Linked DNA regions of Drosophila melanogaster. Changing the gene in region 2 together with the main gene of any one other region gives a genetic interaction. Each region holds a gene or a part of one and is shown on either strand. Other genes may lie near its edges.

What was found. A genetic interaction does not mean that the proteins touch.
Region 1: of Strip (region 2) and Tbcd, changing one enhances a phenotype caused by changing the other (phenotypic enhancement), as found in Drosophila melanogaster (one study listed by BioGRID).
Region 3: of Strip (region 2) and spri, changing one enhances a phenotype caused by changing the other (phenotypic enhancement), as found in Drosophila melanogaster (one study listed by BioGRID).

Annotation. Positions count from the first base shown.
Region 1 is NT_033779.5:2,145,565-2,152,186, forward strand, and holds Tbcd (Tubulin-binding cofactor D), read left to right. Parts: upstream 1-1,953; 5' UTR 1,954-2,082; coding exon 2,083-3,025; intron 3,026-3,082; coding exon 3,083-4,216; intron 4,217-4,277; coding exon 4,278-4,697; intron 4,698-4,764; coding exon 4,765-5,231; intron 5,232-5,283; coding exon 5,284-5,889; 3' UTR 5,890-6,100; downstream 6,101-6,622. Other genes in the region: CG11723 (uncharacterized protein), read right to left, coding at 336-1,249, 1,322-1,460; AIF (apoptosis inducing factor), read left to right, coding at 6,471-6,582.
Region 2 is NT_037436.4:3,322,839-3,330,779, forward strand, and holds the start of Strip (striatin interacting protein), read right to left. Parts: upstream 6,034-7,941; 5' UTR 6,032-6,033; coding exon 5,861-6,031; intron 5,789-5,860; exon of another isoform or gene 5,605-5,788; coding exon of another isoform or gene 5,413-5,604; intron 5,346-5,412; coding exon of another isoform or gene 5,022-5,345; intron 4,716-5,021; coding exon of another isoform or gene 4,515-4,715; exon of another isoform or gene 4,505-4,514; intron 3,875-4,504; coding exon of another isoform or gene 3,794-3,874; exon of another isoform or gene 3,427-3,793; intron 3,199-3,426; exon of another isoform or gene 2,800-3,198; coding exon of another isoform or gene 2,764-2,799; coding exon 1,862-2,763; intron 1,799-1,861; coding exon 88-1,798; 3' UTR 72-87; intron 5-71; 3' UTR 1-4. Other genes in the region: Gtpx (glutathione peroxidase homolog with thioredoxin peroxidase activity), read left to right, coding at 4,515-4,715, 5,022-5,345, 5,413-5,604; CG14961 (uncharacterized protein), read left to right, coding at 7,304-7,816, 7,873-7,941.
Region 3 is NC_004354.4:10,582,401-10,587,180, reverse strand, and holds the start of spri (sprint), read left to right. Parts: upstream 1-1,758; 5' UTR 1,759-2,271; intron 2,272-4,780. UniProt on the Drosophila melanogaster protein: Potential Ras effector protein. May function as a guanine nucleotide exchange (GEF), by exchanging bound GDP for free GTP.

The DNA of each region.
Region 1 (6,622 bases), on a different chromosome or scaffold from region 2:
AAATTCCTTCCAGATGACATCCCAATGATAAGCTAAACCTTAAAATTTAATCAGCATCAGCTGTTATTTTGTTTGTATATTCCATTTCGTGTAAATTGCTTTAAAACAGCCCGCGAATGGCATACCCGGAGTCAAAATGGTTAAATTATTGGACAATACAAATCAATATTTTACAAGCAATTCAGCGTGTGGATAATGGTCTTATGATAGGCATTTTGCCAAACAACTACTCATGTATGAGTAGGGTTTCATCTAAGACTTGTAACAATATGAAAGGAATACTCCTTAGAGAATTATTGGTGAATGTAAAATCGTAAAAATTTGGTATGAAGTCTTCATAGCAGAGGCTCATTCTCTATCTTGACATCGCACTCAACCATGGAGCTGTCGACATAGTCAAACGAAGTTGGTGTTTTTCGGCTACTGATTTGGTAGCTGGAATTGGATAGATGGTACTGGGATTTCTCCAGCTGAGTGGCAAAACTGGAATTCGGGGCTGGTGTTAGTTTGGGCATGCTGCGCTCTAGAACGTCTTCGGGTCCCGCCGCCGCGAGCATGTGCTGATCCTCCTCCCTGAGTTCCACCAGAACGCGCGCCATCTCCATTCGAAACTTAAGATTGCTAATGGCTGACAGAGACTTTACGTGCGGCATCATGCTCATCAAGAAACTCAAGTCCGAATCGTTCTTTAGATCGGGTTCAGTGGTAGACTTTGACGCCTGGCTGGCGTATCCATTCAATAAGGGGACATCGTTAGACGGCGAAGTTTTCCTCCGACGTCCTCTCTTCGAAGGCGGGGGTGGACGTGGCAGGAATTGTTGGTGGCGCGGCAAGTGTATGGGCAATGTGGGCGATAGATCCTGATCGGAACGATGGGCGCCCGAGGATGAAGAATCCAAAGGCTTGATCAGCGAGCCTTTATCCGAGCCAGAGTCCTGGGGCACTGACGGCTCCCGCTTAAATATGTCCTCGATGATTTCAAAGTCAACAGAGTCATCATTGTCCAAATCCAAATCGATAGCGAAGTCAACCAGTCGGGTGGGCTCGAAGACTTCCGGCTGCTCGGTGTTCATCACGAAGGGCTCTGGTGGAAAGGGCACCAGGCCCTCCGGATCGAAGATTTGGCGCATGAACTCCAGTGAGCGAAAGTATGGCCAGTGGGACATCTCGATTCGTTTCTGCTGTATCTTGCGCACCTCTGCCCGGTAGCTGTCCCGCATTCCCTTGAAACGTTTCTTGCAGATCGAGACTGCAAAATGACCAGGTGTTATTTATAGGTTTCCTAGGCATATAAAACCCTCCTCGTTTATCCGCCACTCACCATCCTGCTGCATTATCTGCGCGACACTCGCCCACTGGAGAGCTGCGTCCTGGTTGCGGTACGAAATGGACATGTTTGTGTCCCACAGGCACCGCCGCTTGGACACCTCCTGTATGAGACGGTAGTTATCTGATTTCATGGCGCAGTGGACCAGAAATTGCGGTTTGTCCACAAATGCAATGCTCCGAAACTTGCGGATCCCGAATTTTCAACGCAATTTTCACAGCAATGACCGCGCTCACAGCAAACTCGACGAATGTGTGAGCGGTTTCGACCCGACGGTAACACTTTTAATATCCCAAATTCGGGCTTGCTTTGCTGCGTTTTGGTGGAATATACAAAATCTTGCTCTTGCTAAATCTCGCAGTTTCGCTTGCCACTACAAATAAATGATTAATTGCGCCTGGCAGCTCTGGTCGAACAGCTGCTTAACGGTATTACCAGGTGCATGCAAAACGGCCACACCAAAGGCACTATGACACTAGATGAACTTATTTAGTAGGATTTATTACAAACGTTTAAAGAGCACAATGTACAATAACTGCATTTGATTCCAAAAAAAAATGTTAGTTTAAAGATAAAGAATTAGATAAAGACCCTTTTGGTCGAAAAACAGTAAGAAAGAGACGAGTCAGTTCGTGGTGTCATACCAGCATACTTTCATTGGGGTTGCAACCCTGGCAGTAAAACAAATGATTCACAAACGAATTGATTTTGTTGCCGGCTGTGGGTTTAAAACTCGATAAAATCGTCAAGCAGCCATGTCGAATTCTGTGGAAGAGTGCAAGGATGAGGACCTGCCGGCAAACACGCTGGAGCACTTCACCGAACTGCAGCAGGTGCTGGAGATGATCGACAACATCAAATCCATTGCCGCTAACACCTTCGAAAGGGAGTTCGAGCAGTACGCCCAGGTTTTGTCTAGATATCAGGAGCAGCCACACCTCTTGGATCCACATTTGGAGGAGTTACTCGGCAAACTGCTCCACAAGATTCGGAAGCCAGATCTAGACACTGGAGAGCTTCATGCAGCCTTCAAGTATCTCTACATCATCTGCAAAGTGCGCACCTATAAGGTCCTGGTAAAGTTTATGCCACACGAACTGAGCGATCTGGAGTTTGTTCTGGATTTGCTGGGTCAGCAAAATCCCAAGGAGTTCGAACAGTGGGAAACGCGCTATATACTGCTCCTGTGGATGTCTATCCTGGTCCTAAATCCCTTTCACATGTCGAGACTAGATGCCTATGACACCTCCACATCTGCTCCCACCACCAATTGCAGTCCCGTGAACCATGTTCAGTCGAAGAACACCAAGATGGATCGCATCTTCGAGCTCATCCAGCTTTATGTGTCCTCCAACGACACATGCAGCAGCATGGCTGCTTTCCTGGCCGCCAAGTATTTCATTCGCAGTGACATCAAGGATCTATATCTGGAGCGCTTCCTGGACTGGATTATGGAGCAGCACCAAGCGGACACGTTGAACGTCAAGTTCGGCCAACTGGCTGCAGTGGCTGCTATTTTAAAGCACGGAAAGCGAGAAGATCTTCTGCCCTATGCGGACAAACTTCTTCAGTGGATCACTTCCTGTCAGTACAAGGATGACAACGACTTTCTCAAGTACAAGAACTATGTAAAAATCATCCAGAGAATTGGATTGGTTCATTTGAAGCCACGCATTGCCAGCTGGCGGTATAAAAGAGGTAAGCCTGGGGTTTGTTATTCACGCATGAAACCATAATAAACTAGTGTTTTCTTAGGCACTCGTTCACTGGCCACCAATCTAAACCAGACAACTGCGGCAGGAGGTGAACCAGTTGTTTTGGAGCAATCCCTGGAGGAAGGCGAGGAAATAGTGGTCCCCGATGCCATAGAAGAGGTGATTGAGGAGCTGCTCCAGGCACTGCGAAGCGGAGGAAACGATATACGCTGGAGCGCCGCCAAAGGATTAGGCAGAGTCACCAATCGCCTTCCCAAGGAGCTGGCCGATGAGGTTATAGGGTCTGTGATTGATATACTCAACCCGCTGGAACCCCACGAGGCCTGGCATGGTGCATGCCTGGCTTTGGCAGAACTGGCAAAAAGGGGATTGCTGCTGCCACATCGATTGGAGGAGCTAGTACCCCTCCTTATGCAGGCGCTCTTCTACGACGAGATGAAGGGCTACATGTCGGTGGGGCAACACATCCGAGATTCAGCCTGCTACATGTGCTGGGCATTTGCCAGGGCTTACAATCCGGATGATGTGAAGCCATTTGTGCACAAAATCTCATCTGGCCTGCTGACCGTTGCAGTGTTCGACCGCGAGGTGAACTGCAGGCGGGCTGCCTCGGCAGCTTTTCAGGAAAGTGTGGGACGCCTGGGCAACTTTCCCTTCGGAATCGAAATCTCCACCACGACGGACTTCTATTCCGTGGGCATCAGGCAGAATTCCTATCTAAACATCAGTGACTACATTGCACAGTTTGAGGTGTACAGGGAACCATTGATTAACCATCTAGTTCAGCATAAGGTAAGCCATTGGGATTCGGCTATAAGGGAGCTGACAGCCAAAGCCCTGCACAAACTATCCCTTTGGGAGCCCGAGTACATGGCCGCTGTGGTGCTGCCGCAACTGCTGGCAAAAACTGACACCATCGATATTAACTGCCGGCATGGTTGTGTCTTAGCCATGGGAGAAATAACACTGACCCTACGGAAACTAGAGGAAAAGAGTGATCCCCAAGTGGTTTACCTCTCCAACCAACGGGTTGCGGAGCTGAATGAACTAATAATAACGTTCCTAGACAAAAATTTCTATCGCGGAATGAGCGGCGACCTGATGAAATCTTGCACCAGCAGCTACATAAAGAACTGCAGTCTGGCCAAGTTGCAGGCTACGCCGGAGTGCTTGGGTAGGAAAAGAGTCCCTAAAGTATAACAAGCATATTATTTAATTGCGTTTATTCGTTTCAGTTTCCTGGCAGAAAGTCATCGATTCCTGTTTGATCACCAAATCAAACGCTATTCGGGATGGTGCGGTGGAAGCGTTCGGTGAACTCTGTACCACTTATTACTGCTCAGATTCCAGGCACGGGGAAAACGAAGCCATAATCAACACTTATCTAACAGGTGCAGATAACGATTTGGAGGAGCACATTCGCATGGGCTACATTGCTGCTCTGGGTGTGCTCCCATCCTTTATGATCCGCTGTCATCTGCAGGCTATATTGGACAGTCTGGTGAAGCACTCCCTAACTCCACTGCAAGCAGTTCTGGTGGGTGAAATGGGTGACCGCGAGAACATCCAGGCATACAGGTGGAGCGAGGCACGGACACAGAGCGTGCTGGCCTTGACCAAGTTGGTGAAGACCGTGGGATATGGAGGGGGAATTGGTGAGTCAATGATCTTAGTTGTGGGCTAAGAATGTGAACAAATCTTAGTATACAATTATTTTTTCAGACTCATTTGCTGAGCCGAAAAACTTTAACAAGGTTATCGAATGCCTGTTAAGAGCTCTTCAAGAGTACACCCTGGACAACCGTGGTGACATCGGAGCGTGGGTGAGGGAGGCGGCTATGTCATCGCTATACGAAATCGTCACTACGTGTCCGCCTGATCTCCTCGCCCCAGAGCAAGTGCATGAGATTGTCGTGGGCTTTATGCAACAGGCGGTGGAGAAGATCGATCGCACTCGTGGATTAGGTGGTCGCCTTTGCTGCCAACTGATCCATCATCAGCCGAGGATCCCCTACATACGGGAGCACTCAAAACTCTTGGAAATATTTCCCGCGGATGCGGATTCCGTACTTTGGTTATTTGCCGATCACACATTCCCGCTGTTCTGCGAGCTGCTCTCTCTGCCGGATTACTCTAAAAGAGTTCTTTTGGGTCTGAGTGCCAGCATTGGTCAACTGACTGAATCTCTTGTAAGTTGTATAGACCACCTCTATATCAATCTCTAAAATATTCTTCCTGCAGATCAAGTATGCCTCCAGTGCCTTATTCCACTTCTTGCGTTCCAATCCTGAGACTGTTCCGCGTCTCTGCTCCGAGGTGGTCCAGATTTTCGAGGAGCATCTACTAAACGAGCGCGTGACCTATCCTCTGCTCAGTTTCCTGGATATACTCATTGGCTCCGGAACTGTAGAATCGGTTCTACACGATGAAGCAAATCCCTTTGCAGAGGATATCTTTAGGCTGCTCAACCTGGAGGTTAAGGGCTACAAGAAGCTGTACAAGACTGCGACCAGCATCAGTGCTTTTTGCCAGTTGCTCCAGGTTCCTCGCCTGTCTAAACGCATCCTCTCCAAGCTCTCAGTATTTCTTGGACTGCAGCACGTCCACGTTCGCAAAACCGCTGCCACAAAATTGTACGAAGCGTTGGCTCTGCACGGCGATGTCACCGAAGTGCCCGAGGAGAATATGGATGAGATCCTAACACTGCTCTCCGAAACGGACTGGACCCAGCCGCTGGTGGAGGTGCGTCCGCTGCGGAACCAGTTGTGCCAACTAATGGACATCAAGCCTCCCGTAAGTGGAGCAGCTGCTGCAGCCGCTTTGCAGCAAGCGAGTGCTGATAAATGAATGTTCCCACATGTATTTAATATATATTAATGCACAATTGTACTGACAACATACATAAGTGGTATTCATAAGAATTTTTATTCTTTATTTTGGAAGCACATCTTTATTTTAACATGTTTTTTAATATTTATCGTTTTCAAAACAAAGAGCTTGTAAGTTCGATTTTAAAATTTCACTTGCTCAAAATAAATTAAATATTGTTCAACATTTCAAAAACCAACGAACACTTTTTGATAAAAAGTGGCTATTTTCAAGCCAAATAATTTCGAATAGGCGCTGGGCCATTTCCCATTTCATTGCGACGGTCACACTGCGACAGAGACAGAAAAAAACAAGACAGGCGAGGGAATGAAAAATAAATATAAATTAAACGCGGACTACCCAAAAGCAAGGAGGGATAAAGGAGTCGAGATCAATTAAACACCGCCGGACTTCACACGGAGAAATTTGTCATAGAAATTGGTTTTTTTGTAAATAAAACACGAACTCGCAAAACACACGTTTCTTTCGCCGCACAACGTTGTTACGTTACACAATTGTGGATTGTGGTGTCACCTACTCCGCAGCCAGTGCAAATCACGATGAGTATTTGGGGGGTCCGATGTCTGACGCAGAGGTTCATCCGGCAGGCGTACATCCTGGCCAACAGAAGGCTATTGGGTCCAGTGCCGCAGCGCTCGCCGCCGGCATACGGTAAGTGAGGTTATGGCCGGCTGGCCAAACCGATCCGTGT
Region 2 (7,941 bases):
GCAGCTGTAATTCAAAAAGGAATCACGTAAATAAAAGTGTGACGGGGCACATGCGGTATGCAGTTGCTCACCGATGGCAGCCCTGCCCTAGAGGGCGTCCCAGTCGGTCTGACTGTTGTAGACCTCCTCCTCCAGCCAGACCGCGTAATTGGCCTTGAAGTAATCCGTCAGCTCGACCTTGCGATCCCACCAACCCGAGTGACCGAAGAAGGCAAAGTCCGAGTGGGTAAGGATCTCGTCGCTGGGAAAGCCACCCTCCACACCATAGTCGTTGAGCTGCTGCTGCTGGTTGTGGCCGCCATTGCCACCGCCACCGTTGTTTCCATAGCCATTTGCGTCGCCATTATTGCCACATCCATTGTTGCCCGCCATCATGTTGGATTGCTGGGCGTTCTCCGCATTCTGAGCTGCCGTGCCGTTGTTTCCACACTTCTGGGTGGCTTCCGGATAGCGTCGCAGGTTGAATCGATCCACGCAGGCCCGCAGCGTACACTCCTCCGCCTGGAAGTCCCAGGGACGCGACTCCAAGTCGTTGCCAAAGGCCCAATCGTCGTTTAGACGATGCCGCACCTTGGCGTAAATTGCACTCATGGTCTTCATATTGGACTTCCGCCACTGGCGGCCCAAGTACTTGGTCTGCATCTTGAGCAGCTTCAGCACGTACAGCTGCATCATGGCGTGGCGCACCTTAAGCGTCTTCTTCAGGATTGGTGCCGACTTGAATACCACCAGCATCATCACTCGCGAGTGCTTCCACTTGATCAGCTTGTTGAGGATGCGCAGCAGGTTTATGCAGGAGAACACGTTCCGCCAAGAGTAGGACTTATCGGACATCTCTCCGCCATACACAAAGCTATCGCCACTCAAATCCGGTTGCTCACCAATCACACACGACGGGAAATCGAGCAGAGGAATGGAGTTCTTGGTGTTCACGTACTCCGTGATTGTCTGATTGAAGAACTTCAAAACCAGCGGGATGCAGTTGGCGAACACGAGATGCTGCGACATGAACTCAAACTGGTAAACATGGTTTATCTTGAAATGCTTTAAATATAGCAGGATGATGGCCGAGACAGCCTTCACAATGATCTCCTTGTGCCGACCAATGTCGACGGTTAGCTTTGTTGATTGGGTGGCCGTCAGCGGCATCTTCCTAGGCAGCACATCGGCCATTATGTTGATGCTCTCCGTCTTGGACTTGGACGTTGGCGAAGCTGCCAGCAGGACCTTGAGAAGGGCGATCATATACTGCGGCAGGTTTGGCAGGATGGCTTGGTACAACACCTCAGCCGGGGTCAGTTTGATTTCGTCCTCGTGCGTGGAAATGGGGTTCCTAGCTATGTCCTCCTCCTTCTTAATTTGCACATCGGCCAGGCTCATATACATGTGCCGCTGCAGCGTCTTAAAGCCCTCGTGAATGGGTTGCGGCAGTCCAGCCAGACTCTCGTGGTCACCAATCAGTGAATACCCGATGAACTTATTCCGCGAAATGTCCAGAAACTGGTCAATGTCCTTTTGTCGCACCTTAGGCGTCCAGGGCAGGCGAGCCGTGATCTGTACCGGAGGCACAGCAGCGGGTGGCTGTGTTAGGCTAGGCTGGTTGTTTGGATTTGCCGTCGAGGTGGTGGATGCCGACGAAGAGGGGTCATCGTAGGGTCGGTAGTACTGAGAGAGTTCTTCCTCCCCGTTTCCGCCATTGCCGCTGCCATTGTTGGCATTATTTTGACCCTCGTTGCCGCCCATCTCCATGTCTATCTGCTCGGGCTCGTCCAAAAAACGCTGCTTCATCAGGGAGCGTCTGTGCGGCAAGGAAAATGAATGTATTGAAAAGTGTACATAAGTGATCTAAGACTCCGCTTACTTGAAGTTCCGCTTGGGATACTGGTTCTCCAGTATATCAGTAGCTGTGGCCGGCGGTGAGCTGGCTCGCATGCACTTGGTAACCTCCAGCGTGTCCTCGGTGATGGGTTCCAAACCCACCTTCAATCGATACTCGTTCTTGAGATTCTTGAGCACATCCATGCCTCCCAGTCCCAGCAGCGAAACTTTCCACAGCAGGAGGACAACCTTCTTCATGGGGAACTGCGGTGCTGCGCCACTGCAAAACCGTGTGATCATGCCCAACAGCTTGACGGCCAGAAGTTCGCCATCTGGTAGTGGTGAGTTGATTTCTTGCACAAAGGAGTCGGCCAGCTCTCTGTAGTCTTCGCTGCCCTTTTCCTTTTCATCGCGAATCGTTTCTGTGATGATGTAGAGCACAGATAGGATCACCCGAATGTCCGTGGAGTCCACAAGCGTGACGTTAGTGATCTTGACGGCCACAATGTCCGGAGAGCAGGCGCTTTCGATCTCCATGTTGAGCAGGTCGATGAAGGAGGCGAAGACGCCGAGTTGGTAGAGCACCAGCACATTGTCCCTGGTGATCTGGTGCTGCTCCTCGTCCGACTGAACCTCCGCCCAGCAGCCTTGGGCCAGGTAAAGGATGCACCGGGCGGCCTGCATGCGAAAGGATCGATCGGAGACCTCCAGCTGGTCCACCAGCTTCATCACGATGCCGCGCTGGGAGGCGGAGTCCTGCTTCTGCCAGTTGGGCGGCAGGTCGTACAGCTCCATCTGGTCCTCGAAGGCCTTCACGTTCATCTGAAACTCGCTGAACTCCGTGTAGCTATACAGTTCAGCGATCTCGTTCTGATAGCCATCCACGTCCGCGTACACGAAGTCCAGGTCGGGCCCGTCGCAGTTGGCGTCCGCATCGTGGGTGTCCTGCTCAAAGGAGTTGTTTATGGATGTGAGCATCATTCCGCCAATCCTTTTTCGCCACACAGGGATCTCTTTTGTGTGGAAGTGTATGTGCGTGAGTGTGGGCTACTCGTGTATGTGTATCCTGCGGCGGTGGGCGGTGCGCCTGGCGTGGGCGTGGTTGCTCCTGCTCGCTGGTTTTCTCTCCCACTTGGTCTTAGTAGCACATGGACGTACTAAGCAATTCGCACTGCATTTCACTGGGTAATTTCGACTGCAATTTGTTTCTCGCCAAAAACAAAAACGCACAATGGAAAAAGAAGAAAATTCGTACGACCGTTTGCTGTGTGGTCGGAAAATACCAAACAGCAAATGGTGTTGGCCGTCTGGCAAGGCCGTTCGATCGGATGTGGCAGCGACTGATGCAATTGCCGCTGCTTTAAATTTGAAATAAGGGTTCTGTTTGATTTGTACTAATATTAGGAATAGGGATTGTTTCATTTTGATATTTTGTGTTTACAAAATGATAATCAATAGTAATGATATATACAATTTGAAGCTCTAATTAAAGGCTTTTACTTTCATGCTTAAATTTAGAAAGTAGGGCTTAACCACCACACTTGGCAACTCTGGAAAAGTTGTGCTCCTAGTGTGACCAGACCAGAACATTACAAGTGCTTTCACCTACACATATAAATAAGGGTTTTTGCAAGTCGCCGGTTTCAGTTTTATTTACGCTTCGAAAGTGAGAAAGTGCCCAGTTCCATTAGTCATTGCTATTACGCCATAAGTAAGCCCAAACAATAATACCCAGCTGTCGAGATTAAGCACAGCATAATCAGCCCAAAAACACAGCTGGTCGAGGTGACAAGAATATATGTATATAGAGCAGGGAAAACAGTCGAATCGAATCTGAACTTTGCTCCCGATTTTCGCCCATATCAGCGTGAGCTTGCAGAATCTCGGCATTCGCATTCTATATTTGTATCCCTGCATCCGAAACTCGCAGCAGATCGTTGTGAAATCGTACACATAGTCGATATATAGCTCAGTAATGGCTGGCCGCTCCATCGTCCACTTTTTTCTGGGGTCCGTGGCAATCGCCCTGGGATCGTACATCTACTTCACCATGCAAGTAATTACCCACAACACTAACTATCCCTTCAAATTGCTGTCCAATCAACTCGAACAATGGCATGCATGTGCAATCAGCGACGGTAACGAGGCAGCGTCGTGGGTTACGTGGGCCAATCCTGGCCAGCTTAAAGGTCACTGTGCGTAGCCACTAGGTTGCGTGACTCACAGGGTGCTGGGATATACATATATGTACATATAGCTCTTGACTTTGACCCCGATGAATTATGCAGCGTCACTGTAACCAGAAGCCTGATAGCACCCTCGTAAATGTCTATGAAACAACATACAACTATTAGGAAACCCATTATCAAAACGTGAAATAATCTTGGATGTTTGTCGTCGGGTTGTCGAATACAATCTATACACCACATACATTTCCACACTTTCTTATTCGGAAATAAGATAGCTTTGAGCTATCTTACTACTTTACTTACTACTTGCTCTTATCTACTTAACTATTTCGTTAATCAGTAGAAATGTGGACTTGATTTTTATATTTTCCCATTTGAATTGTTTTGAAACGATTGTTGTTCGATCTGATACACAACGTACACATCCACACCAGTAATTCCTTCACTTGCCTAAGCTTTCACTAAATTTGAACATTCTGCCCGGTTATTATTTGCAGCATTTAAAGAATGAGTCTCAGGCAGTTTCAGAACATTTCCCGCCAGGCCCTCAGGTGCTACTCGATGAGGCGGACCCCTGGCCCCGTCCTCGAGCTGAGTCGCGGTCAGAGGCAGTGCCTTCGCCTCTGCACCATCATGCTTCCCGTGAGCTGTGCGGCCACGCCCATGAACGCCATCTCCTCAGCCGCCCAGCACTCCACAGCAGCTGCCGTGAGTAGTGCTGATTGCTAGTTGACTAGATCCTAACCCGTTGACTAACTCAGTTGCTTGATTCTGCGCCTAACTAAACGTTGTAGCCTTTGCCACTGCCTGTGTTCTCTGTTCTCTGTTCTCTGTTGCCTGTTCACTGCAATGAACCGCGTAGCCTGGGTCGATTTTGATACAGAATATAGTGTTTCATACCCCGATTGAAGATAAGGCTATAAATATCTATATCTCTTGATCAAAACATCGACCCAAGCCTTCACAGCCACTAGTAATTACCCAATTCTAACTCCCACTTTCTATTGCTTCCAGATCGACATGTCTGCTAACGGAGATTACAAGAACGCCGCCTCGATCTACGAGTTCACCGTGAAGGATACCCATGGCAACGATGTTTCCCTGGAAAAGTACAAGGGCAAGGTGGTCCTGGTGGTGAACATCGCCTCCAAGTGCGGCCTGACCAAGAACAACTACGAGAAGCTGACGGATCTAAAGGAGAAGTACGGCGAGCGCGGCCTGGTGATCCTCAACTTCCCGTGCAATCAGTTTGGGTCCCAGATGCCGGAGGCCGATGGAGAGGCCATGGTGTGCCACCTGCGCGACTCCAAGGCTGACATCGGCGAGGTGTTCGCCAAGGTAAGACTATTAAAGCTGCTAGCCGATTGCTGTAGACCGAGTCACTAAACTTGCCCCACCCCCGCAGGTCGATGTGAATGGAGACAATGCGGCGCCGCTGTACAAATACCTAAAGGCCAAGCAGACCGGCACCCTGGGCAGCGGAATCAAGTGGAACTTCACCAAGTTTCTGGTGAACAAGGAGGGCGTGCCCATCAACCGATATGCCCCGACCACCGATCCCATGGACATCGCCAAGGACATTGAAAAGCTGCTGTAGATGTGCCCTAGACGTTAGCTGCTCTTTTGGACTGTGTTTTCGCGTAGCTTTAGCTTGTAACCGTCTGGCCACAGATAGTCTTGTGGCCGGCCACATGCACCGCATGGTATATATATTGTCTACTCCTTACTGGTTTTGATTCCCACCCGCAAACATAATAAACGCCATTCGTGGTTACCACACTATCACCTGGGTGTTTGGCGACGCCGGGCACGTACTTTGATCGGTAGTTGGAACTGTATCAATTCGGACTTACCGTGTCAACGCTGGCGCGTTCAATCCGCTTGCTGGAAGCAGCAATGGTGTTAAGCACGTTGATCCTAGACTGGATGGACTGCATCATCGAGGATCTGGCGTTTACGGCGCCACAGCTTAACTGGTTTTTACAAGTGTCAAAAAGGAGTTTATTTTTCTGTTTCCAAGCCATATATATTTGTTAGGTGACTGTGAAATTTGGAGATGTCATATTAAGGGAAAAACGAAATTCACAAAAGAAAGGTATGATGTTTTCAACGGTAGAGCACAATTTTTGAAAACTTGTTCAACTTAATGACCACGAAAGCTCGCATTGTTTTAAAACTAATTAATCTTTGAAAGGACCTTGATCAATTAGTCTGAGTTTTAGATTTTAAAACCCATATTTGCCTTTCTCTATAATGATATTCAAAACAAGTTTGCTTTAATATCCTTTAGATATTTTTGAAAGAAAAGTTACTTTTTCTGTGAGTAGGCAATATCTGTTTTAAAATATTCCCCCTTACCAATTTGACCTTATTGGTGGTTACTTTAAGTGCAGAAAGAAGCAAAAGTACTTCACATTAACCTTTACCTTCTTTCCGAATTCGAGTGCTCCGAGTGTTCGCCAAATGCTCGCCAAACTTCGATTGCGCAAGTTTGCCTGACCAGCACCCCCAAAACCAACAAATGCGAATCCGTCAGCCCATTGGGGCGCCGATCTCGAGCTGCTCCTCCTCCAGTGGAGCAGTTCAACGTCTCGGCCGGATTTCAAGTTCAAACCAGCTGCCAATGGAGCGGCGACTCCGACCTTCCGACAATTACATGAAAATGCTGCACTCACCATTTACGGATGCCATCGAAATTCGCAGTGGAGATCAGGCGGAGAAAAACCAAACTGATGAGCTGGAGCGAAATTAAAGATCTCTATTGGATTAGCTTCTTTTACCCGAAAGAACTTTTCCCAAATTTTCCCAAGAAATTATTTTAATAAAATCGCATATTAAATGATATATCTGTGATATATGAACGAACTTAGGCCCCTTTTCTCTCAGTGCTGGTGCGTGCCACACAAGTGTGAAGCGATGACAGCAATTTGTTGAATGCATCATCGCTCAAATGCGATCGCTCGAATGCCTTTAATTGTAGAACTAGGTTAAGCATCTGAGACTCATCCCTAAACAGTTTGGCCCAGGTCAGTAGCGAAGCTATCGAAGCTATTGTCGCCATAGTGTGTATGCATTGCTATTCCCAGTGCTGCAGTTGACTTTGACACTGATCGCGATCGCGATTGCGAATGCGATCGCTCCCCCAATTTTGATTCCGAATCCACCCAAAATCCGTATAAATATGCGGAGCACACTCCACTATCGATCAGACAGCGGTCAGCTTTGGTGGTGGTCAGCAGTGATTGGACACACAGCTAGGATTTTTGACTTCGGATTGGTAACAGGATTAGAACAGGATGTTCCGAGGAGTGCTGGTGCTCCTGCTGGTGGCCTGCAGCCAGGTGGATGCGGCCACCCATGTCAACATCTCGATTGCACAGCAACCGGCCACAAATCCGGCGGATGTGAAGTACGTCGATGGTATGGCTCCGGCCGAGCTGAGGGCGGGTCCTCAGAGGGATGAGGATCAGCAGTTTCAACGCATCCAGGAGCGACAGCAGCAGGTGCTATCCCAGTCCCAGCAACAACAGCAGCAACAGGTGTCTCAAACCCAGCAGCAACAGCAGCCCCAGCAGCTGTCTCCTCGCCAGGGATTGGGATTGCAGCCGCCAGCTCAGGGTCAGTCACCTATGTCCAAGAACGGACGACTGCCCCGTCGCCGGAATCACAGCCGACGCCCCTCCATCCACCAGCAGCCGCCGAGTCCTCATAGTGGCCAGTTTCGACAGCGCAACCAGCAGCTCCGCCAGAACCAGGAGTTCGAGCGGTACATCCAGTCCTACCACAGCCATGGTCCCACCGTGGAGACGGTAAATGGAAAGAAAGTAACATGTTGAGCCAGCAAGTTAACTACCTTACCTTCCAGGTCTACGAGTCATCGAATCCGTCCCCGCAGCGCTATACTCAAACCAGCTCCGGAATAAGTTCGTCCTCG
Region 3 (4,780 bases), on a different chromosome or scaffold from region 2:
ATCAGAGGGTAATGTGACTTCGAGACCAGCCCTTTTCTTCGGTTTCTTGCTGAATTGTGCACGGCAAAAACAATTACAATTTCGCAAACAAAGATAATTTGCGAATGAGATCGACGACACGACACAATGGCACTTTACAACAACAAGAAGAACAACACGACAAATGGGGCGGGTATGGGGGTCTGTCAAGAAAACCTGAATTTCGAAATGGAAGGGCTAAAAAAAAGGTGAAAAATCAGAAATCAGAAGCTTCTTTCCAATTCCAGAAGTCAAAACGCTAATCGGTAATCGACAATTGCTTATCGGTCATCGACAGTTTTCGCGTTTTCAAATTGTTTGTGGCTGGCAATACAAGGTGAATTGTAAAAAAAAAAAATTAATAAGTGCGAGCAAAAAATGCGATCACATAGCAAACAAAGCTGCAAATCAAGCGAAACAAACACGTCGCCCTCTTAACAAGATATAACCGGGTTAAGCACAATAATATATCTTTTAATATAAATACTTATTCATATACGATAGTAAAACTGATAAAAGATAATTTTCAAGAGAATCTGTTAAGATTGTGAACCAAAGTCTGTGCATTCAATTTCCAGCTAAAACCAAACAACGAAAGACAAAAAGAACAGATTGCTAATTAAAATTTATGGGTGTCATAATTTTCCGACAATTAAAAGTCTCATTTTACAGCAAGAAATATTGATTTGGTCAGCAGTACCATGTGAAAAAATATTACTGATATATTGCAAAACAACCATTTTAGATTTCCATGTGCCATAGCTTTGGCTTTCAGCTATAACTTGTTTTAAACAATATAAGCTTATTTTGCATTACACGTTTAATTAAATTGGGACAGCATAAATTTTTGATAATTACAAGCACCTTTTCCAAAATCGAAAGTAAATCAGCACCTGCCGTTTAATAATTCACTTTGGTGAGCAATATTTATTTTTTGCCAACTCCGCGCTTTTTTAAAGAAAATTTTGTAACCGTAAAACACCAATATAACAATCCATTGCATTCATAGTAATTTCCATTTTAAAACATTGTTAATTTACGGAAAGAATAGTTTAGGAAACTTTTAATACAGTAAGTTGACTTAGTAGCAGAAGAATAAACTTTAATATTAAATATTTCTTTAACAAAGTTAAAAACTTTGCTATCTTCCTTACAACCTATGTTAACCACAGTGACAACAATGATCTATGAGTAAGCGTAAAGTTTGCTTAATACATTATATTATAGTTTTGATATTATACTTTCATAAATTAGTATGGTTGGGTAAATGGTTGTAATTAATATATTGAAAAATGTAAGATCTTATGACTGACATGTGACCACAATAGAGTTAAGTTTAAGTTCTTTTTTAATATAGTTTAACTATTAAGCTATTACTCCATGGTTTCATATATCTTGTGGAGTAAAGTGCTGTTAACATGTTCTGTAAACATATGATACAACTTTCCTTAACTCTTCGACCATTGTGCTGTTAAGTTAAAAATACCTCTTAATATACTTTTATTATTGATAAATAGTTTAGATTCATATACATATCTTGTGGCGCAAAGAACTTTTAACATTATCCATCAACTGAATGGAGAGTTTTCAGTAGGAGTGTGACCACTGTGCGCCATCGTTTCGCATCTCGTAATTTTGCTTGTGTTGTTGCTGTTGTTGTTGCTGCTGCTATTATCGCAGCGAGTTGTTGCTGCCGGCGACGATCTTCGTTTTGTCGGCGGCTTCAGTTCAGTTCAGTTTAGTTCGAGTTCGCACTCGGCCACAAACGGTCGGTCGGTCGGTCGGTTGTTCGTTCGTTCGTTCGCTGAAGGAGAATTGTGGAGAAGAAATTGAACCCGTAATCTTCGGAATCCGTAAAGCCGTAGTCCCGTAGTCGTAAGGCGATCGCGAGAATTGAAATTGTGCTGCAACTCAAGTAAAATAATATTGTGTCGCACAAGATCACTGCGTGTCGCGCTCAATTAAATACACATCTTTTTTTTTATATTTTTCCCCCGGTCTTTATTTATTTTTTTTTGTTTAATTTTTTTTATTTGCGCTACAACGTTGTTATTTATATTTAATTGTTTTGTAACAACAACAACAACAGCAGCCGAGTTAAGTGCGAAAAGTGAAGTGAAGTTTGTCGGCGAGTGAGTGCGAGTGCGCACAAAAATTGGAGCAGGTTCCAGAGATCTTGAGATCTTCAGAACTAGAGATTCCCAGTTCCTAGGCTCCCGGGTTGCGACTTTTGGCGGCATTGGCGTTCCCCTGGTAATTTAATTGAAAGTGATGATCGTAGCCCATCCATAAAGCCACTTACCGGTAGTTCCCCCATCCTTTCACAAGTTCAAGTTCACCGACCACGCGGACTCCTTTTTTCGCTCTTCCACCCGCTCTCTCTTCTCACTCTATCTCTCTTGATCGCTTGCCCTTCTTTCACTCGAAGAAAATACAGTGCACACTCGAGATGGTGAATTTGGATTGGCCATTAATTGCTCCCAGTTTGGGTTATCATACTAAATCTTTGTACAATATCTTTGGAAAAAGATTAAAACCTAACTTTAAATAAATAGTAATAATTACTGCTGTACAACTATTCTTTTTTTTTTCTGAGTGAAAAGCTCTTTTGTCTTTCTCGCCAAAAGTGCGTTGGATTTCTTTACATTGTGCCTGGTTCTCTTCGGTTTACACACTCGGTACATTGCACCCTTGGTCCCTGTTTCCTTTAGTGTCGTCTTTCGCTTTCAATGCATTTTGACAGTGGATTGCTAATCGGCCAGGTATTCGCAGGCCACCTTATAGCACCTACCATATATACCCATCGTACATCTACATACCATTCATACATACAATCGCATTCGCATTCGTATATTCGCATTCGCATTCCTGTCGCCGTTGTCATTTCCTCACCTCATCGGGCACCGCCCTCTTGCTTTCACGCACCTGATGATAAACGGCTCAAATTTTGATAATGTGTACGGATTGTGCTGCAAATTGCTCAAATGGCTAATCAGCTGTTGCTAGCACATATGTATAACCCCCTATACTCCATATCTTTCCAATGAAATCGGCGGGAAATTGGCTTTGTCTCGAGTCTTATCGCATGCCAAAAAAAAAAAACGAAAAATCAAAAGGCAAAAACCCAAAACTTAAGTCTGAGCTCCAAGTCTAAACCAAAACCGCAACATCATCTCAATATTTCCTTAACCACAAGTGCACAGAGCAAACAAGGTCTACTATTACTATTGACTAATTAGGCATTCTTAAGATATAAAAATATATAAATAGAGCAAAATGGTATAACAATTATAATCTATATTATCTAACATAATATCCAAAACCGTGGTGTGCGTGAAACGTGCCCTAATTTTCGCTCTGTGTGCGTGCATCAGCGGATTGCTGATAAGTGGAGAATGTTTATTGTCATTACCTGTGTCCCACTACCTGTACATTCCCCTACCCTGCGGTACTACCCCTCCGGTCGATATGGTATTCCTCATGCAATTTGCGGTTGTCACAGCTATTAGGTTTAGATAGTCCACTGTAGCGGTCTTATCAATGGGTTGCTTTCGCTGGTCAGTCAGTCAGCCAGGTATCTCTGTACGTACGTATGTTTGCCATGCCAGTATTATGATAGCGATCGTCAGTGGTTTACTTCGCTAATGATCCTCGTCGCTCAGCATGGGAACATCGCATCTGTATATGCCCACTAATCCCACTCGTATATTTTGGCTTTTTTGGCTTATCGCGATGGTCATTTAAATACACGTAGGAATCGTTGCGATCCCATCATATACATACAAACGTATGTGCCCAGATATTTTTGGGATACCATTTCCTTTCTTCGGGCTCTTTCCAGTTAATATCTTTTTAGTAGTTCTTAGAATTAATTTATCATATCATATCACTCACTGAACTAACTAATTTGTCCACTTAATGGATACAACTCATGATTATCAAGTGATCTCTGTGAATACCAATTCATTGACTGATAGATGATCACACTCAAATAAAATCGCTATAATTTCCGATGATTATTGACTATGCTTATAAGTCCTTAGCCCTACTGAATGATCTCAGCTAAATTCCCCACCAAACTTTTCTCACCCACACACGAAATGCCGCAATGTCGAGTTAAAATTATTCGATGGCAAGAAAAAAAAAACAGAGATTAAATAACAAAATACCAAAAAAAAAAAAAATTGCCAAAAAAGTCAGCTTTGACTAATGCGCTGCATTGGCGGTGCGATCATTTTTTGGCGATCACTTTTTAGCACCAGTTGAGCTACCATGTGGGCGCAGCGGCAGCCAAAATAGTTGGCCAAGAGTCTCGAGGTCTGAAAGTCGCACTCTTGTTTTTGTTTCGACTTTGTTTTGCTTTCGGCTATCAACAGCTAACCGCTGCGCCCAACTGTTCCAATAGAAAGCCAGTTAACAGCGATACGCTCCGGTTTTCTGTCTTCTCTCTGTTTTTATTATTGGGAAGGGAGATCGAGATCGTTGGATGGGAATCGATCAGTTGATTCGCGGTTCGTAAGTGTCTAAATATAGATTTCGACCATATTTGCTGGCAAATATTGGCCATGAGTGTGCGGCGGGCTGAACCTGCCTCAATTCAAGTGGCACAGTATCTGTATCTGGGCTCCTATATCTTTATACATATCTTTGTACATATATATGAGTATTTGCGAGTGAGTGCACGTGTTTTTGTGGCAGACGGCAGATCGGGCAACATGTCACCCCACGCGACATGCCACATACTACATACTACATACTACAC